Linked DNA regions of Nothobranchius furzeri. Each later gene encodes a partner of the first gene's protein in a complex. Links are inferred from orthologs where the notes say so. Each region holds a gene or a part of one and is shown on either strand. Other genes may lie near its edges. The genes, in order: filamin-C and fblim1.

The links.
Region 2: the proteins of filamin-C (region 1) and fblim1 are in contact, whole or in part, in an NMR structure (PDB 2K9U), measured with the Homo sapiens proteins. The link is inferred for Nothobranchius furzeri from reciprocal best matches to the Homo sapiens genes FLNC and FBLIM1. Residues at the interface, in NP_001449.3 of Homo sapiens: Thr2339, Ala2344, Gly2345, Gly2346, Leu2347, Ser2348, Ile2349, Ala2350, Val2351, Glu2352, Gly2353, Pro2354, Ser2355, Lys2356, Ile2359, Phe2361, Asp2380, Glu2382, Phe2387; in NP_001337080.1 of Homo sapiens: Arg8, Val9, Ala10, Ser11, Ser12, Val13, Phe14, Ile15, Thr16, Leu17, Pro19.

What each region holds. Positions count from the first base shown.
Region 1 is NC_091744.1:62,148,332-62,156,022, reverse strand, and holds part of filamin-C, read right to left. Parts: coding exon 7,442-7,691; intron 7,348-7,441; coding exon 6,750-7,347; intron 6,591-6,749; coding exon 6,417-6,590; intron 5,685-6,416; coding exon 5,522-5,684; intron 5,405-5,521; coding exon 5,076-5,404; intron 4,996-5,075; coding exon 4,872-4,995; intron 4,683-4,871; coding exon 4,526-4,682; intron 4,436-4,525; coding exon 4,246-4,435; intron 4,151-4,245; coding exon 4,127-4,150; intron 4,006-4,126; coding exon 3,764-4,005; intron 3,682-3,763; coding exon 3,582-3,681; intron 3,341-3,581; coding exon 3,200-3,340; intron 3,076-3,199; coding exon 2,947-3,075; intron 2,851-2,946; coding exon 2,677-2,850; intron 2,568-2,676; coding exon 2,403-2,567; intron 2,249-2,402; coding exon 2,045-2,248; intron 1,964-2,044; coding exon 1,811-1,963; intron 1,726-1,810; coding exon 1,603-1,725; intron 1,487-1,602; coding exon 1,235-1,486; intron 1,150-1,234; coding exon 880-1,149; intron 586-879; and 4 more.
Region 2 is NC_091743.1:45,858,257-45,866,482, forward strand, and holds the start of fblim1 (filamin-binding LIM protein 1), read right to left. Parts: upstream 4,137-8,226; 5' UTR 3,963-4,136; intron 3,785-3,962; 5' UTR 3,737-3,784; coding exon 3,358-3,736; intron 2,318-3,357; coding exon 2,175-2,317; intron 1,158-2,174; coding exon 1,064-1,157; intron 990-1,063; coding exon 820-989; intron 1-819. Other genes in the region: transmembrane protein 82, read right to left, coding at 5,285-5,371, 5,447-5,631, 7,903-8,226. UniProt on the Homo sapiens protein: Serves as an anchoring site for cell-ECM adhesion proteins and filamin-containing actin filaments. Is implicated in cell shape modulation (spreading) and motility.

The DNA.
Region 1 (7,691 bases):
CCTCTGAGGTTGTGCAAAAAACTAATGTGATTCTTATCAGCTGTGTGCGTGTGTGCGCGTGTGCGTGTGTGCGCGCGCGCGTGTGTGTGTGTGTGTGTGTGTGTGTGTGTGTGTGTGTGTGTGTGTGTGTGTGTGTGTGTGTGTGTGTGTGTGTGTGTGTGTGTGTGTGTGTGCACCCACCTGAAGGCTTGTCACAGTGAGCCTGCGGGCCTCATCTGACAGTGTAGCAATTGGAACGATGAACGGGCTGTCAGGGATGTGCTCGTTGTTGAATTTGATTGACACCTCGTAGTCACCTGGGGAAGTAGATGTGTTACTTTCACAATCAAATGAACTGCAGGAAGCACCGGAAAACAGCTGGAAAGCCAAACAGCGAGTGGAGAAGAATAAAAGGTGGAAAGCATGCAAAAAGAGTAAAATTCTGTGTTTTAGGTGGCAGAAAGCTACCTGGCTCTTTTACTATGTAGGAGACGCCACAAGAACCATCTTTCCTGTCCTCAAAGGAGATTTCAGCCTTGCTGGGGCCTTCTACTGCAATGGACAGGCCACCGGCTCCTGCCTCTCTGGTCCAAATGCTAAATTCAGCTGTAAATGATCCAAACAAGCTAAGTAAGAGGATGATTCACCTTAAAAAGTTTCATCTAATTAAAATTCTCATAAATGTGCATGTTGTATTTAATCCAGCCACTTTTACTACTGTGTCAATGTACAATGCATCACATTTTCATTATTTTTAATCATGTTAAATTGTGATTTGTTGTATAAAAAACAAATTTAAATTCCATACATGGATTATATTAGATTTGTTTCTAATTCACTTGACTTCACTGTACAAACTGGATTCGTCCCAGTAACATGACCCCCACAGTGTGAACTTACACGGCGCTCCAGCCACGCCTCTTGCAAGGCCAGGTCCTCCTGCACGGACCTTGTGTGCTCCACCTTCCCCCATGGGTCCTACTGTAAACTGGAAGGGGCTTCCAGGTACGTGCTGTCCTCTGTATTTGACATTCACAGTGTGCGGTCCGATCTCCTGGGGGATGAAGCGAACGCTGTATGTGCTGCTCCCTCCATCCACAATGTCAGCATCCACCGTTTTCCCACTGGGACTGGTCACCTGTGCTGTCATGGCCTGGGAACCGCTCTCAACTGGTGAGTCAGACCAAAGCAGCACATTAAACACTTGTTCCTTTTTTTTTATCTTTATGACTTAAAAGCAAAGATATGGACACACCCTCCGGTCTGGAGGTGATGCCAGCGAAGCTGCTGAGGCTCTCTCTGCCCAGAAAGTCTCCAAAAACATCTCTGAAAGGACTTCCTCCTCCTCCTCCCATCTGGGTGCTCTCCTCCACTCGCACCTCCCTCTTGGTCTCCCCACCACGAGTCTTGCTGATCTCTGTCCGCTCAGTGCGGGTATAGGTGTGGCTGCTGCGGGTGAATGTCCTGGTTAGCCTTTCCTGCGCTGAAACCATCTGGAACCAGTTTCCTGCAGCCAGGAGGAAGAAGCAGTGAGAATACCAATACATGTCTGCAGCAACCTCGTTTATTTTAAAGCAGTCGACCGCTGCACTCTAACCGTTTCTGACCGGATGATGTACTCACCGGGGATCTTGAGGTTAAGACCACATGTGCTGCCCACTGAGGCAATAGAAGACGCCTGTCTCTTTCTGGTAATGCTCTCCTTAATCCTTCCTTCTCCAGTCACCTTCACTGTGAAAGGACTTCCTTCACAAAGACAGAGAAATGCACAAATTTACTTCTTTTTTTCAGGATTTTTTCATTATTTATTTTAAAGTAAACAAATTCTGACCTGGGATGTGTTTTTCTGCAAACTTGATATTGACGGTATAACTTCCTGGTTCGGTGGGGCAGTATGTCACCCTGCACGTTCCATCCTCCATGTCCTCACAGTTGATATCTACTTTGCTTGGACCCTCAATTGACAATGCCAGTCCACCATAGCCTAGGGGAACAAATGAAACAGTTTAATATTTTACCTGGCAGTACTTATGAAGAATGGCGCAGAACCATTTTTAAGACTCACCAGCGTTCCTTGTATCCACAAAAAATTCAGCCATTTCAAAAGTGTGTGCCTCCACCAGGCCTTTGCCGAAAGCCTTCACTCTGCTGGCTTCACCGATCTCAGACTGGCCAACCATGATTTTAAAAGGACTGTTTGCTACATGCATGCCGTTTTTCCTCACACTCACTTCATGCTCTCCAACCTCCTTCGGGGTGAAAGAAATGCCTGTGATTGTAAGAGAGGCCGGAAGAAACGCAATCAGCAACAAGGACTGAAAAAAGAGCTGAAAATCTCAACAGAATAAATCAAACATCAATGGGATATTTATCAGTGCTCTATTCCCTCGCTATCTAGCGTTTGTTGTGAGGAAACGTCTCACCAAGATGTCTGTTGGGGAGCCTCTTGAGCAGGCAGGGTTCTTCGTTGCCTGATGGAGCTCTGATACTGGCAGTCAGAGAGCTCAGATCAGTCTCCGCGATCTTCAGGGACACGTCGGCAGCAGTGCCGACATTGAGCTGGGATGTTCTGGTTATGGTATCATCCCCTAACATAAAAAATGCTGGTTCATGCTTTGGTTTACAATAAACTCCCTGATATAAACACATATCAGGAGAAGAAATTCTGCCCAAAAGGAAAAGGATGCATTTCCCCACCTGTGATCTTGGCAGTAAAGGGGCTGCCAGGAATGTGCTTGTTGTCAAATTTGACAATGATGCTGTAGTCTCCTGGTGCTGTGGGGAAGTAGGACACTGTGCAGGTGCCATCTTTGTTGTCCTTGCAGGTGATCTCAGCTTTAGAGGGACCCTCCACTGCAAGTGACAGACCACCTGGGAGAAGGATGCAAAGCTCAGACAACCGTTTTCAGCCATTTAGCACAGAAATGTTTCATCCCTTAAAATATTAAAAATGTAGGTGATGTTTACCTTCTCCTGCGTTCTTGGTCACCACAGTGAAAGCAGCAGCTTTGTTCACGGTCCCATAACTCAGACCTGGACCGTAAGCAGTCACGACTCCGCTGTTCACAGCGTCCACATAAAACTGCAGAGGACTCCCTGTGAGGAGACGAAATCATTTGAAAACATTAAACTTGAGCGAATGCAGCTTTGACTGACATTTATGGGATTTCACCCATAAAATCAGAAGAAAGAGGAGGCAAACTGTTTCTGCCCTGCTGACCTGGAATGTGGTTTCCATCATATTTGATGTCCATCTCATGCAGGCCTCTTTCTGTGGGCTGGTACTTGATCGTGATGGTGCCGTCCTTATTGTCGGTGATGTGTGGGCGACCCGTTTTACCAGAAGGCATCCGAACCTCACCTAGAGCCAAACATTAGCCTCATGAGTTCTGAGCTTTGGTTTGCATTTGTGAATGTCCCTAAACTATTTGGGATTACTAACACCACCTGTAGAAATAAAACATGTACATTTATATGAATTTAAAAGTTTACATAAAACAGGTCTGAGATAAAATGTTGTGAAGTCAGAATCCTCAGGTTTTGCCGCTCATCTTTGTTAGTCATGCGTTCTAACATTTTGTTATTATTTGAGTTAGTCTGACCTGTGATCTCTCCCTGCTGTGGGGTGAACGGCACCAGGAAGTTGACAGGACGAAAGAGAGGATCCACGGTATCACGGGGAACCACTGGCTCGTTTGTAGCCTGGCAGTTTAATAAGACAAACGCTCAGAAAAAGCACACCAGCCACAAAACTGTAGCGATCGTTCAATTGTACTTTCCTCACCATCACTTGAAAAGGGCTCTTTGGGATGTTCTGGCCCCCAAAGCGGATGGTAATTACATATTTCCCGGGTTCAGGGGCTGTATAGTAGATGTCAAAGGTCCCGTCGTGATTCTCCACCACATCCATGTCCAACTCCATCCCCTGTGGGGTGAGAACCTTGCAGGTCACCTTGCCTTTGCCGGCTGCCTTGGCATCCACAGTGATCACTGTATCCTCGGAGGTTTGCAGCTTATGGAGACTTGCTGTTAGGAACAGAGAGAAGAGATGAATAGAAAGTGGCATCAGACATGAAATTATCCCTAGATCTTGTCACGTGCAGTAGAAGTGATGTTAAAACAGAAAGATAAAGTCTTTGTTACTCACACACGCCGTGTCCTCCAATTGAAACTGGAAATTTGAAGGGAAAAATGTTAAAACAACTATAATATATATCTTTTTTTTTATTTACATGAACAATTAAAGAAATGGAATGGTTTTTTTACCAGTGAGGCGGCATTTGCTAGCATCCCCTGTGGGCAGGGACTGGATGCGGTACGGGGAGTAGGGAATCTCATCTCCTCCGTATTTAATAGTGATCGTGTAGGGTCCTGTAGAGTCAGGGACATAGGACACCGTGTAGGTTCCATCCCTGTTATCCTGGATAGTCGCATTCTTCGGCTTGCCCTCTGGGTCCTATGGAAAAAAAAAAGATTAAATTTACTTAAATATTAAGTGGCTCATGAGTCTGATTATTAGCTGAGTGTTGCTTTGTGCTGAACCCACCAGAATCTGCACAGTGAGCAGCCCCTCTCCAGCATCACGAGCATCAATGGTAAACTCTACAGGCAGGCTGGCAGCCACACCTTTGGTGTCTAGACCTGGGCCACTGGCACGAACCTTGCTGGCATCGTGCCCAGGCTGAGACATCACCTTGAATGGACTGTTGAGACGCAGCATACAGGGTAATTAACAAAGTCAGTGTGAGAGAAAATAAAAGAAGGATGGAAAACCGACTGTAGCACACCTCCTTTTTCATAAAACCATTCAGGGAGAGTTTTAATGGAGACATTTCTAAAGACATGACCTGACTAGGTATGTGTATTTTAACACACGTTTGATTAAACTATACCTGTGCGGGACTTCCTGATCTGCATATTTGACCGCTACAGTGTAGGGGCCGTCCTGTGCCGGGGTATAGTGAACTGTGTGGGTGCCGTCCCCATTGTTCTTCACACCAACAGGCTCAACACTACCTGTAAGTTATGATAAAGCAAAGGCTTACAATCTAATTAGTGAATACGTTAGTCCTTTTCCTCATAGAGATGATTCCCACCTGTTGGTCCATAGAGTTTGACGTCCAGCGGGGCCTGCCCAGCCTGGGTGCAGTCCGCTGTGAAAGTCTGAGGAACGTGAGCTCTCACTCCAGCGCCCAGACCTGGACCAGAGCATTTCACCTTGCTGGGGTCTACCGGGTCCTTCACCAGCACATGGAAAGGACTCCCAGGGATGGGCTGACCTCCATAGGTAATATTTACATCGTAGTCTCCAGGAGTGAAGGGAACATATTCCACACTGCAGCTGCCATCTTTGTTGTCTTTGCAGGAAATTTTTGCCTCTGAGGCTCCTTCAATCGTCAGACCTAGCCCTCCAGTACCAGCACCTCTGAGAGAGAAGCCAGTGTTGTTAATTATTCATTCATTCTTTAACTCTATAATGTTAAAATTTAATATTTGCACACTTCCTTGCACATATATCTTCTCTGAGTGATTGAAGCAGTACCTGGTTTCCACAGTGAAAAAGTTTGACTTGTTGGTTATTCCACCCTCTAGACCTGGCCCAAAGGCACGGACCCGGGTAGGATCACAACCCTCCACCACAAACACTCTGAAGGGGCTTTTAGGAACAGGCGTGCTGTCATACAGCACCTCAATCAGATGCATTCCTGCATGCAAACAGAAACATCTTGACTAACGTTTTACATTTTGTTTGTGTCCTCAAAGCAAGGCAAATATTTTCTGCTAATGCCTCTCGCCTTTAATTATGGGCCAGTCAAATTCCCTTTTAGGGAGACAAACGTCTGTTTATTTATAAAAGATGCCATCCAGAGTACAGACGCTTCACTGAACAGACAAGACGATACATCTGTTCCCTATTCATTATTCTGTTACAACATTTTTCTGACAGAGTGCTCTCAGTAGGCCTATACAGCATATTCCCAGCCACACTGCCATGATATTAGAGCATGTCTGTTGGTGGAGAAGCGCTCTGTGATCTCTTTGCTTTGTGTTATAGGTCTCTATTAATACCCCATGTCATTCCTTTGCTGTACCGTTGTGTGCAGGCAGTCTTCAGCACACATACCTGCCTGGTTAAGAGCTTCTGTTCCAGAGCGCACTATTTATAAAGCAGAGCCTCACTGCCTGCTTGCTCTCTGCCCCTAACATCATTGCTCGACTGCATCATTCTGTATTTATACCCCTCTCTCACTCCATCTTCCTTTTCCCACTCTCCTGCTTTATTCCCAAATTATGCCTGAGACAGGCACCTGTTAATGATTTGTCCATCTGTATGCACATTGACTCCACTAACGTAAAATCCTTTGTTTGCTCCACATTGGATGTAGCAAATGTTTAACTTCATTAATTATTGATTCACATTTTCTCTGTGCTCTTACCATCCTCAAAGGCAGTGTACTCCACTCTGTAAGTGCCGTCGCCCTTGTCGGTAATGTAGGAGTCTGTGTTGGTGCCGGAGGGGTTGATTATGTGGACCTTTACATGACTGCCACCAGCCTTGTTAAGGGCACGCGCATCAACAATGAAGTGGGTTGTGACTTCCCTGAGGACCCCTTGAGACACAAAAGCACTTCAGGTGATTTGGTGCCCAGCACTCAAATAAGCCTAATAACTCAGAGCCATCAAACATCCCTACTGATGCTGATTTCTGCGTGACAGTGGTAATTCAACAACCGTTGTTCACACGAGACAGAAATGCATTTTGAGCTTACCTCTAGGCTCCACCCCAGGACCATAGACATGAACTCCACTGGTGTCCAAGGAGGGTTCCACTTGCAATACTTTTGGAAAGTAGGGAATTGCGTGTCCACCATATTTGATGGTGATGGTGTGAGATCCGTGGAAGGATGGGATGTAGGTGACAGAGAAGGTACCCTCTGAGGTTTTCTGGATGTGCACCTCAGCTTTAACCCCAGTTTCGGACACAATTTCGATGGTGAGCTCAGCGTCACCCGCTCTGGTGCAATCCACGGTGAAGGTTGCTGGTTCACCTGCCTTGGCCTTCTCCAGGCCCGGCCCACTGGCCATTACTTTGCTAGGATCGAAGGCTGGGCGAACTTTGGCTTTGAAAGGGGAGCCAGGGATGTGCTGCTCAGCAAACAGGATGTTGATGGCGTACTCGCCGGCATCAGTGGGGAGGTAGGACACTGAGCAGGTCCCATCTCCATTGTCATGGCACTCAATTTTAGCCTCACAGGGACCTTCTACTGTCAGGCCAAGTCCACCTGCACCAGCTCCCTTTGTGTCAATAGTGAATGGAGCTGGTTTACCCACAATGCCACCCTTAAGGCCTGGACCAAAGGCTCTTACCTACAAACATACAGCCAGTTTTAACCCTCAACAGAAAAGTAACTGAAATACTTAATCCTTTTTTTTTCAGGAAGTCAAAGATTGGATTTGGTACCTTTGAAGAATCAGCTGGCATGACTGCTTCAACCCCAAAGGGACTACCCATCACAGGGTTCCCATCATAGCTCACATCAACCTTGTACTGTCCTTCCTCTGGAGGGATGTACTTCACACTGTGAGTGCCTTTGGTTTTGTCTGACTCCAGCTTGCAGGGGATGGGTCGACCAGAGGGGGATGTCATCTTCACACCTACGTTGCCCTGCCCACCTGCACCCTTTGTGTTCACTGTGAACTCCTGATCTTTT
Region 2 (8,226 bases), on another chromosome or scaffold:
TTGGTTTTGAGTCTCCCGCTGCAGGTGAGCGTGTCTGGAGGTGGCCAAGCTGTAGACGATCAGCTCATCAGCCGGCCAGGGAGTATTTAAGCTGCTGAGAGACCCCATCACTTCGCTGGATAATTACTCTTCCTTGGGTACTTTTAAGCCATCTAGAGATTGAACATTTGAGTGTTTTTAGCTTTGAGCTCTCGTGCCTTTTGAACTTTGGATTTTTGCATTTTTTGATCTTCTGTTACTGTTTTCAGACAAAACCTCCACTCCCATCTCTGACTGGCTGAACTCTGGTGAAACTCATCTCCGCTCGTCTCTCGGTTTACTCCCTGGTCAACTCCACCTCCAGTAGCCCACCAACTCTCACCTGGATTCGCACCCTCTCCTCGCTCAGCTCCCTCCACCTCCAACTCAGGAACCCCCCCGTTCCAAGAAACCATCATCTACCCAGACCAGACCAACAATTGCTCCCCACCCCCCCCACCCCGAGCAATTCCCTCCTACAGACTAAGTTCTCTGCAGATTCAATATTACCCGTTTCCCCTTTTCTCAAGTTGGACCTAACTTACGCCGGTCTGCAGATTCCCGCTCCCGACCCCGTTGAAGATATCAGCTACGTTTTGCTGCTCCCTTGGTTCCTCTTAATAAATTATTTGTTTACAACTTTCACCACCGCCTCTGAACTGATTCTGTATGTCGTGGGTTAGATACCTACACCACAACATGACAGCTGCAGGTGTGAACAACTTTTCCAGAGTTTGTGTGTGTATAGGTGTGTGTGTGTGTGTGTGTTGTGGTTCTAAGTGAGATTATGGTGACTCAGACCTGGTAGCAGCTTTCACAGAGTGGGATTCCTGCCTTGTTGTAGTACTGTTTACCAGCCAGGGGGACGTGACAGGATCTACAGTGGAAGCAGCTTTCGTGGTAGGTTCTGTTCAGGGCCTCTAAAGCAGGTTCAGGAAAGGCTACAGTTTTCCGACAAAAACCGCACACGTCTGCAGTTGAAACAAATAGCAAAAGTTCATAAAGGGTTATGATCTCTGTACCGTTTAAAGGGTGTGGGTGGTACCTTTGCTTTCCCTGTTTGTGTCTTGGCTGTTTTGAAGGATCTCATGGGTTTCATAATCTCCGGTCGACCAACCAGATGGCGTGCATCTCTCCACCTTAAATTAAAATCCCATTCATGTAAAACTTCATCAAACTGAGATAAATATAGGGGGGGGGGGGGTACGAAGGGACCTGCAAAGATTATCGCCAACTGAGTTTGATAATGGAGAGCAAAAAGATCTGAGCTTGATTTTATCAGATTTGTTTTGGTCATCCACAGCTATGTCAGTAAAGTTATACTCTGCGTTTTTTAAGAGCTTTAAAGGTGTGGTTCACTCATTTAATCAATACATTTACAGTGTCTCTAGTAGGAATGAGTGTCCTGGTGCCCCTGTTTCAGGAACTAGTGAGCCACATCAGAGTTGAGCTTCAGGCGGCAGGGTTTGGAGTCCTATTTCCTGATGTCTGGACATCTCGCCTCTGATTGGCTAACGACACTGTGACTCTGCCACTGACTGTGCTCTGCGACGTTGATGTTTTATCTCCACAAATAACAGAAGCCTGAAAGAGTTCTGCTGTGTGGTGGAGTGGCTAATGCTAATGGTTAACTGAGACATTCTCTGCTGTTTCCAGCCTTCCCTGTCGTGTGTCAGGATGGGTGAGTCTAGCTTTCAGTGACAGTGTGATGTAGATCTGTCAAGATTTTCAAATCGTAAGGTTTCACCTTCTATTTTCTATCAGAAGCTAATGGGTGTCAGAGACTATTTTCATGTTCAGCCTGCATGAAAAACTAACCGACTATAATCAGAAGTAATTTAAAAATGGCTTTTCAGTGAACCACACCTTTAAATCTTACTGACAGGATCTCTAGTCATCACTTGTGGCTTTTGAACTAATAAACTGCAACAACGTTGATTAAATGACTTACAGCTGGAGAGGCCGTAATTGTGCTGGGTAAAAAAAAATCCTGTAAAGAACAAAAACCACAGGAAGACTAGAAAATGGACCAGAAAAAACAATAGACATCCTGTTGAGCCTCAGAACCACTTTCCTTATCTTTCTGTAGATTATATAGAGATTACGGAGCACAATTTACTTTTTTTTTTACAGACATTAGCAGGAAGTTTGAATACCTTGTTGTTGCTAACTGGATGCTGGTCTTGGCTCTGGAGATGAAGGAGACATGTTTGAGGTGGTGGTGGAAGTGATAACTCCTCAGAGAGCTTTCCTCCAGGAGAGGAGGGCGGTACATCAGTAGGAGGAGGAGGTAAGAGCTCTGTTTGGCAAAGAAAAAAATATGAAATAGTAGGAAAAAATACTTGTACATTTTCCTTTACTTACATGGCCTTAAAGGTGCATTATGTAAGAATTAAGTAACAAGGACATCCTGTGGTCACATTCAATTACTGCAGCCCATTTTCAAAACTGTTATTTTCTCACCACTTTCCCACAGTTTCATGGCTGTTCACAGCCACGGTCTCTAGCACCAGAAGATTCTTGATGATGCGTGATGACGAGTCATACGCAGTAAATTGATAATCAAATAAATACATTTCACTGTAATGTTAAGTTGTTTGCAACTGAAAAAGTAGCTTGATATTTATTTTGAGACAATTATGGGTTTCTAATTCACTGTTAACTTTATTAGCTCAATGTTAGCCTCTAGCCTTCTTTACCAGATATTAGAGTAAAACAAAAAATATGCAGTGACTTCTTAGGGGTACAAGAAATAACTTCTGGGTAGCACCTGTAACTGGCTTAGGATCTTTACAAGGCGCTGCTGCGTTTTGCCAGCCGGTGTCGAACTACAAAATCCAGTGCTGCAGCGTTAGCTCGCGTAGACTCGGCTAACATGTGGGCTCCCAGATTGTAAACACAGACTACATCCCTTTTCTTCCTTTTGGAGGAAGGAAAACTGACATCCTGCAGCCAACATGACTGAGACATTAAACTTTTTGGTGACTAGTCACAGTAAAATTGAATACAATAAAATTGCACCTTTAAAGTATACCAATAATACACGTGGAAAAACACACCTTTTTCCACATTTTCCAACAACTTGTAGCCTTTATCTCCACAAAAAGTTTGTCCAGACAAAGGAAAAGTTGAAGTCCGACAGCTGAAATTCACGCAACTGTCATCAAAGTTAGGGACGTGTTCAAAATAATTGGGAGTGGTTCCAAAAAAGTTGGATTATTGCATAATTATACACATAAATGAATGCAGTCTCCCTTCATAGAAGCGTGACCGACCAAATGGGGTCATAGTCAAAGTAAACTTTGAGGAGTATTTCACATAGTTAAGTTTTTAGCCAACCTTCACTATGAATACCGGGAATGATCCTCTTTGTCTGGTCCTTTACTTCTTGCAGCTGTGCTTTGGTGGATCCATTGGGGGCCACTTTAGGGCTCAAAGGGTCTGATGATGATGATGATGTTGAGGGCCTTCCATGAGTCCAGTCTCTGCTATTAACTGAGCTGTAGGTGTCAGGTGATGGTTGGTCCTGTTTCTTGTATCTGTAAACAGGTGCGTTTTCACCTGGGGTGGCTCTGACAGTGTTGTGCTGTTTGTCTCTAACCGGGCCAGTGCTGGCCTGGAGGGCAGGTTGTTGCTGTGACACGGTGGCTCGATGAGGAGACGCCAGTGTGATGAAGACAGAGGACACCATCCTTTTTGGTGGAGCTGCTGATGCCATGGCTGTATGGAACCTCCGTACAGCCTGGCAGAGGCTCAGAACAATGATCTAGAAAAATGTTTAGATTGAATTCGTTCACCAACAGTCTTTGTCATCTCTGCAGAAATCCGTTCACACTCTCGCAGCTCAACTCACAACCCATAATGAATGGTTAAAGATGTAAAAAGCAGAGATCTGTATCATCTGTTTCTCTCAAACCCACTCACGCTGAAGTGCTCTGACGTACCTGAAACTAAAACGTGCCTCTCCCTTCTCCTTCCTCTGTCTTCCTTGCTTGGTATCTCAAATTTTCCCGATTATTCTCACTCCCACAAGCTCCCTCTGAGAGAAGACTTTACTCCGGTGGAGAGGGGTGACTATCTGCAGAAAAGCCACTCCTTTTCCTCCTCTATCTCCCCTCCTTCCTCAGCTCTCCCCTCCTCCTCCTCCTCCTCTGGCTGAGTGACAGCACAGCCTCCCTCCTGACCATAAAAAGTGAACAACTAATCTCTGGCAAAGTTCAGTAAAAATTATGACACATTCATCCGCTATGAAAACTTGGCAATCACAGAAACTCTCAAGCAACTACACGCTCACACACACACACACACACCCACGCTTAGTTGTGCAATAGCTGTGCAGTCACTCCAAAAGGACAAAGGTAGTGTTTTTACAATTGCATAGAGTGAAAGGCTTTCACCTTGACGTGGACAAGCGGAGACACCTCCCACTTTTATCTCTGCATGCCAGCAGGATGTGACTCTACCTGCCTCGCTCTTTACATCAAACCTTTCTTCTTCTCTTTCTTGTGCAGCTTATTGTTCTGTAAACCTTACTTTTCTTACTTCCCTCGTCGGGGCTGCCTCCCCTTTTCTTCTCCCTCTTTCCTGCTTCCCTTCCCCCACATTATATCACTTTAGCCTTGACTCACTATCAGTAATCTTGTGGTATTAACTCCATTTGGGCCCCACAGATGTCCAGACCCGAACACACAGTTTGATTACAGTGGGCTTTATCAGACTCTTCGGGGGGGAGGTTTGGTGCTCAGACGTGCAGACGTAGCTTCAGGGAGAATAATTATTGTGAAACGAGATCTTAGTATATCAGCAGAAGGCCTAAAAGTCAAGCAGGAGGTTGGAGACAGAACCCGACCGTATGTGGGTCAGAGTGAAGCAGGAATGTGCAGAGAGGGTTGACGGGAGCCAGCGATGAGGAGAGTGATGGGGGTCTCTGTTGTTCCAGCTCTGTGGAAAGGAATGCTGCAGTGATGTCACGGCTGCAGGAAGGAGCATGCCCACAGATGATACAAACCCAAGACCACCACGCTCCACCCCCTCAACAGCCCAAATCCTCATTAAACCCTGTGAACCTCTCCAACAGCACGCTTTCAGGCGTTACGTTTAAGTAGCAGGAAACGGATTCACACGGCGAGCACCTTTTTGTGTTGGATTTTTTATTTTCCAAGAATTTCAACATCAAAGTTCACAAAATTCTCATTTTTAACTGCTGTTCCGTTCATCAGCACATCCAGGTGTAAAAAGGTCACCGGCGTTTGAGGCAAGCATCCCATTAACTGTCATCTAACAGGAACTTTCCTGTCTTTGTGCTGGGACTAAATCTTCGTTCTTCTTTGCTGAAGCTGGTTTCGTGTTCTTCCTGGAACAGAATCGTTAAAGTCACATTTCTGTTAACCTTTGGGCTCGGTTGTGCAAAGCCAAGAGAGTAATAAACCTTTAAAGCGGCCTGCAGCAGATCCTCAGAAGACAGCAGACAAACTCCTTCTCCTATAAAAGATACGAGGACGTGAAGCACATCAGACCAGGTTCCCACTGCCAGCATGAGCACCAGTAAGCCTCCCAGTCGCACCACTACAGTGCGCAAGAGGGTCTCTGAGACCGTCAGCCGGTGTTGTTCCTCTGGAAATGATGAAGCATTTTGTTACCATCAGTTCCTGCCTTCATTTGAACCCTTTACGGCAAGTAAGTTTAAAATGTAAATCCCAGAGTGCCGTTAAATGATAAATGATAAATGACCCACACTTGTATAGCACCTCTCAGAGTAAGGACTCCAAAGCGCTTTACACTACAGTGTATCATTCATCCATTCACACACACATTCACACACTGATGATGATGAGCTTCGATGTAGCCACAGCTGCCCTGGGGCGCACTGACAGAGGCGAGGCTGCCGAGCACTGGCGCCACCGGTCCCTCCGACCACCACCAGCAGGCATGGTGGGTTAAGTGTCTTGCCCAAGGACACAACAGCAGGATTCTCTGTCCGGAGCCGGGATCGAACCCGCTCAACCTGCTGAGCTACTGCTGCCCTGTTGTGGTTCATAACAAAAGTTTCCTTTTGCTGTTGCAATTTTCAAAAATGTTTATTTTCATGCAGAAATCCACAGAAAATAAAGTGTTCATATACGGTGGTTGGCCCTGAACAAGTGCAATAAACATTAATGCAGAACAATATCATTAGAATCACATTCTAGAACACTACAGCTGCAGAATAATACAGAATGTTCTCTTTACACAAAAGTTTACAAAAACAGACTACAGCAGAACATTTCTGAATGTTACTGAACAATATAGATCAAATATAGATTAGAATATTTTCAACTGTTATATAAAAAAAGATTAGCCTCAGTGCCATCTTCCTCCTCTTCATCATCATCATCATCATCATCATCATCCCTCGTCACTCGTCCTCCAATTTCCATGGAAATCTTAGCAAGAAACAGCAAAATACATTCAATATTATTACTTCCAATATGAAGAATATGTATCAAAAATTTTGATTTTGCGTATAAATATAAAACATTGAACTTGTTCAGGGCATATGACACAACATGGCAGCTTTGATTTGATGCTATAATTTCACCAACTTCATACAGTTTAACACACAGCAAATAGAAGTGCTTAACTAGGCAGCTGTGTCATGTGAGAGGTTCATTAACTTACCATCAATCGTTTTTGAGATCCGACTTTAAATATGAGAAGAGACCGAGCTAAAGGAAGGCAGTTTTTCGGTTCTTCAGACACACCCATATTTGGAGCGTCCCGGACCCGTGCTGATTGGCCGAACAGCACCATGACACCATCTGTGACTAGCTTGATCTCTGATGAATGGTTGGGTGAAATTCAGCAATTAATGAAAAGGCACACTGGCATAATTTATGATGAGAGCAGAAGTGTTAGAATATAGACGCTGTGTGGGTTTAATACAATATAAATAACATGAAACTCACTGCATTAATACTTACTATGCACCTTTTTTATCTAGGTAGTGTTTGTTTGTTTGTTTGTTTGTTTGTTGAGGGGGGCACTGAACATAGCGACCGGTCTTTCTGAGAAAATGTTATTTAATTTTCAGTTGATCACTCATCAAAAACATTTAATTGTTTAATGCCATTATTTTAAATCTATAGTCCACAATTTTCTTTGTATTTTTGTCTGACAAATTTCCAAATAGTTGATGACCAAAAGTGTTTTTCTTTCTGAAAACCAGCTGTTAGCCATATTTTTTTTATTTCAGTTAAGTGTAAAACATTCAACATCCTGTTAGCTAAGAGGGGCTAATTATTATTTTGTGTTATTATGTTTTTAGCTGGTATTTTGACTGTTTATCTTGAAAATGTTTGCAGTGGATTTCCTGCAAAAAAAAACGTATGTAAAATATAATTCGGTTTATTAAATGTGGTCAAAATGTTGCCTTTGTTGTTAACTAGTTTGAATGGTAATATACTATTTAAAAATCAAGCAACCTATTTAAATATTTACAATCAGCAAAAGTTTCCACTTAAAAAAACGACTGACTAAAAACTTAGCTAATAATTTAGAGTTCTTTTCAAAGTCCGCATTCCATTTGGAAGGACGTTCAGCTTGTTTCCGTCTGTTACAGATGTGGAACGCAGCCTTCGCCAAAACACCAGTTCTGTCACAACTGGTAGGCCAAATGTCTGATACGGAAAAGGTCAACAGTCCATTCAGTAAACAGCATATTTACAAATTAGTTAGGTTTTTTTTAAAACTTCTTTGACCACATTTAAATTGCTTGTCTATTTTCATTTTTAAACTTTTAAGCTGTCAAGTTGAATTCCTGCATCTTTTATTTGTTGGGATTTCACAGAAAGTCTGCTAAGCCTCTGGGATCTCTAGACTGCCCTGTTCAGCAGCGTTGACCGTCACCTTGGTTATAAACCACCAACATGGTGTAGCAGAGTGTCAGCGGGGTCCAGAACTTCATAGCATCCTTGTGAGATAAGAAGTGCTCATAAACCACCGAGGTAGAAGCCACAGCTGCTACAGCAAAGGTCAAGATAACCAGTCTTTGCAGAGAGGCCAGCATGGTGTGCCCTGAGGTTAACAGGCTGATGCATTTCCCACAGTACTGCTGTTTGCTGTGCAGTGGGTAGAGTCTGGCCACGTGGGCCCACAGACTGCTGCTGTAGGAGGCCACAGCCCAGCTGAGAGCAGCAGCCAGACACAAACCGAGGGAGCTGTGTGGAGCCC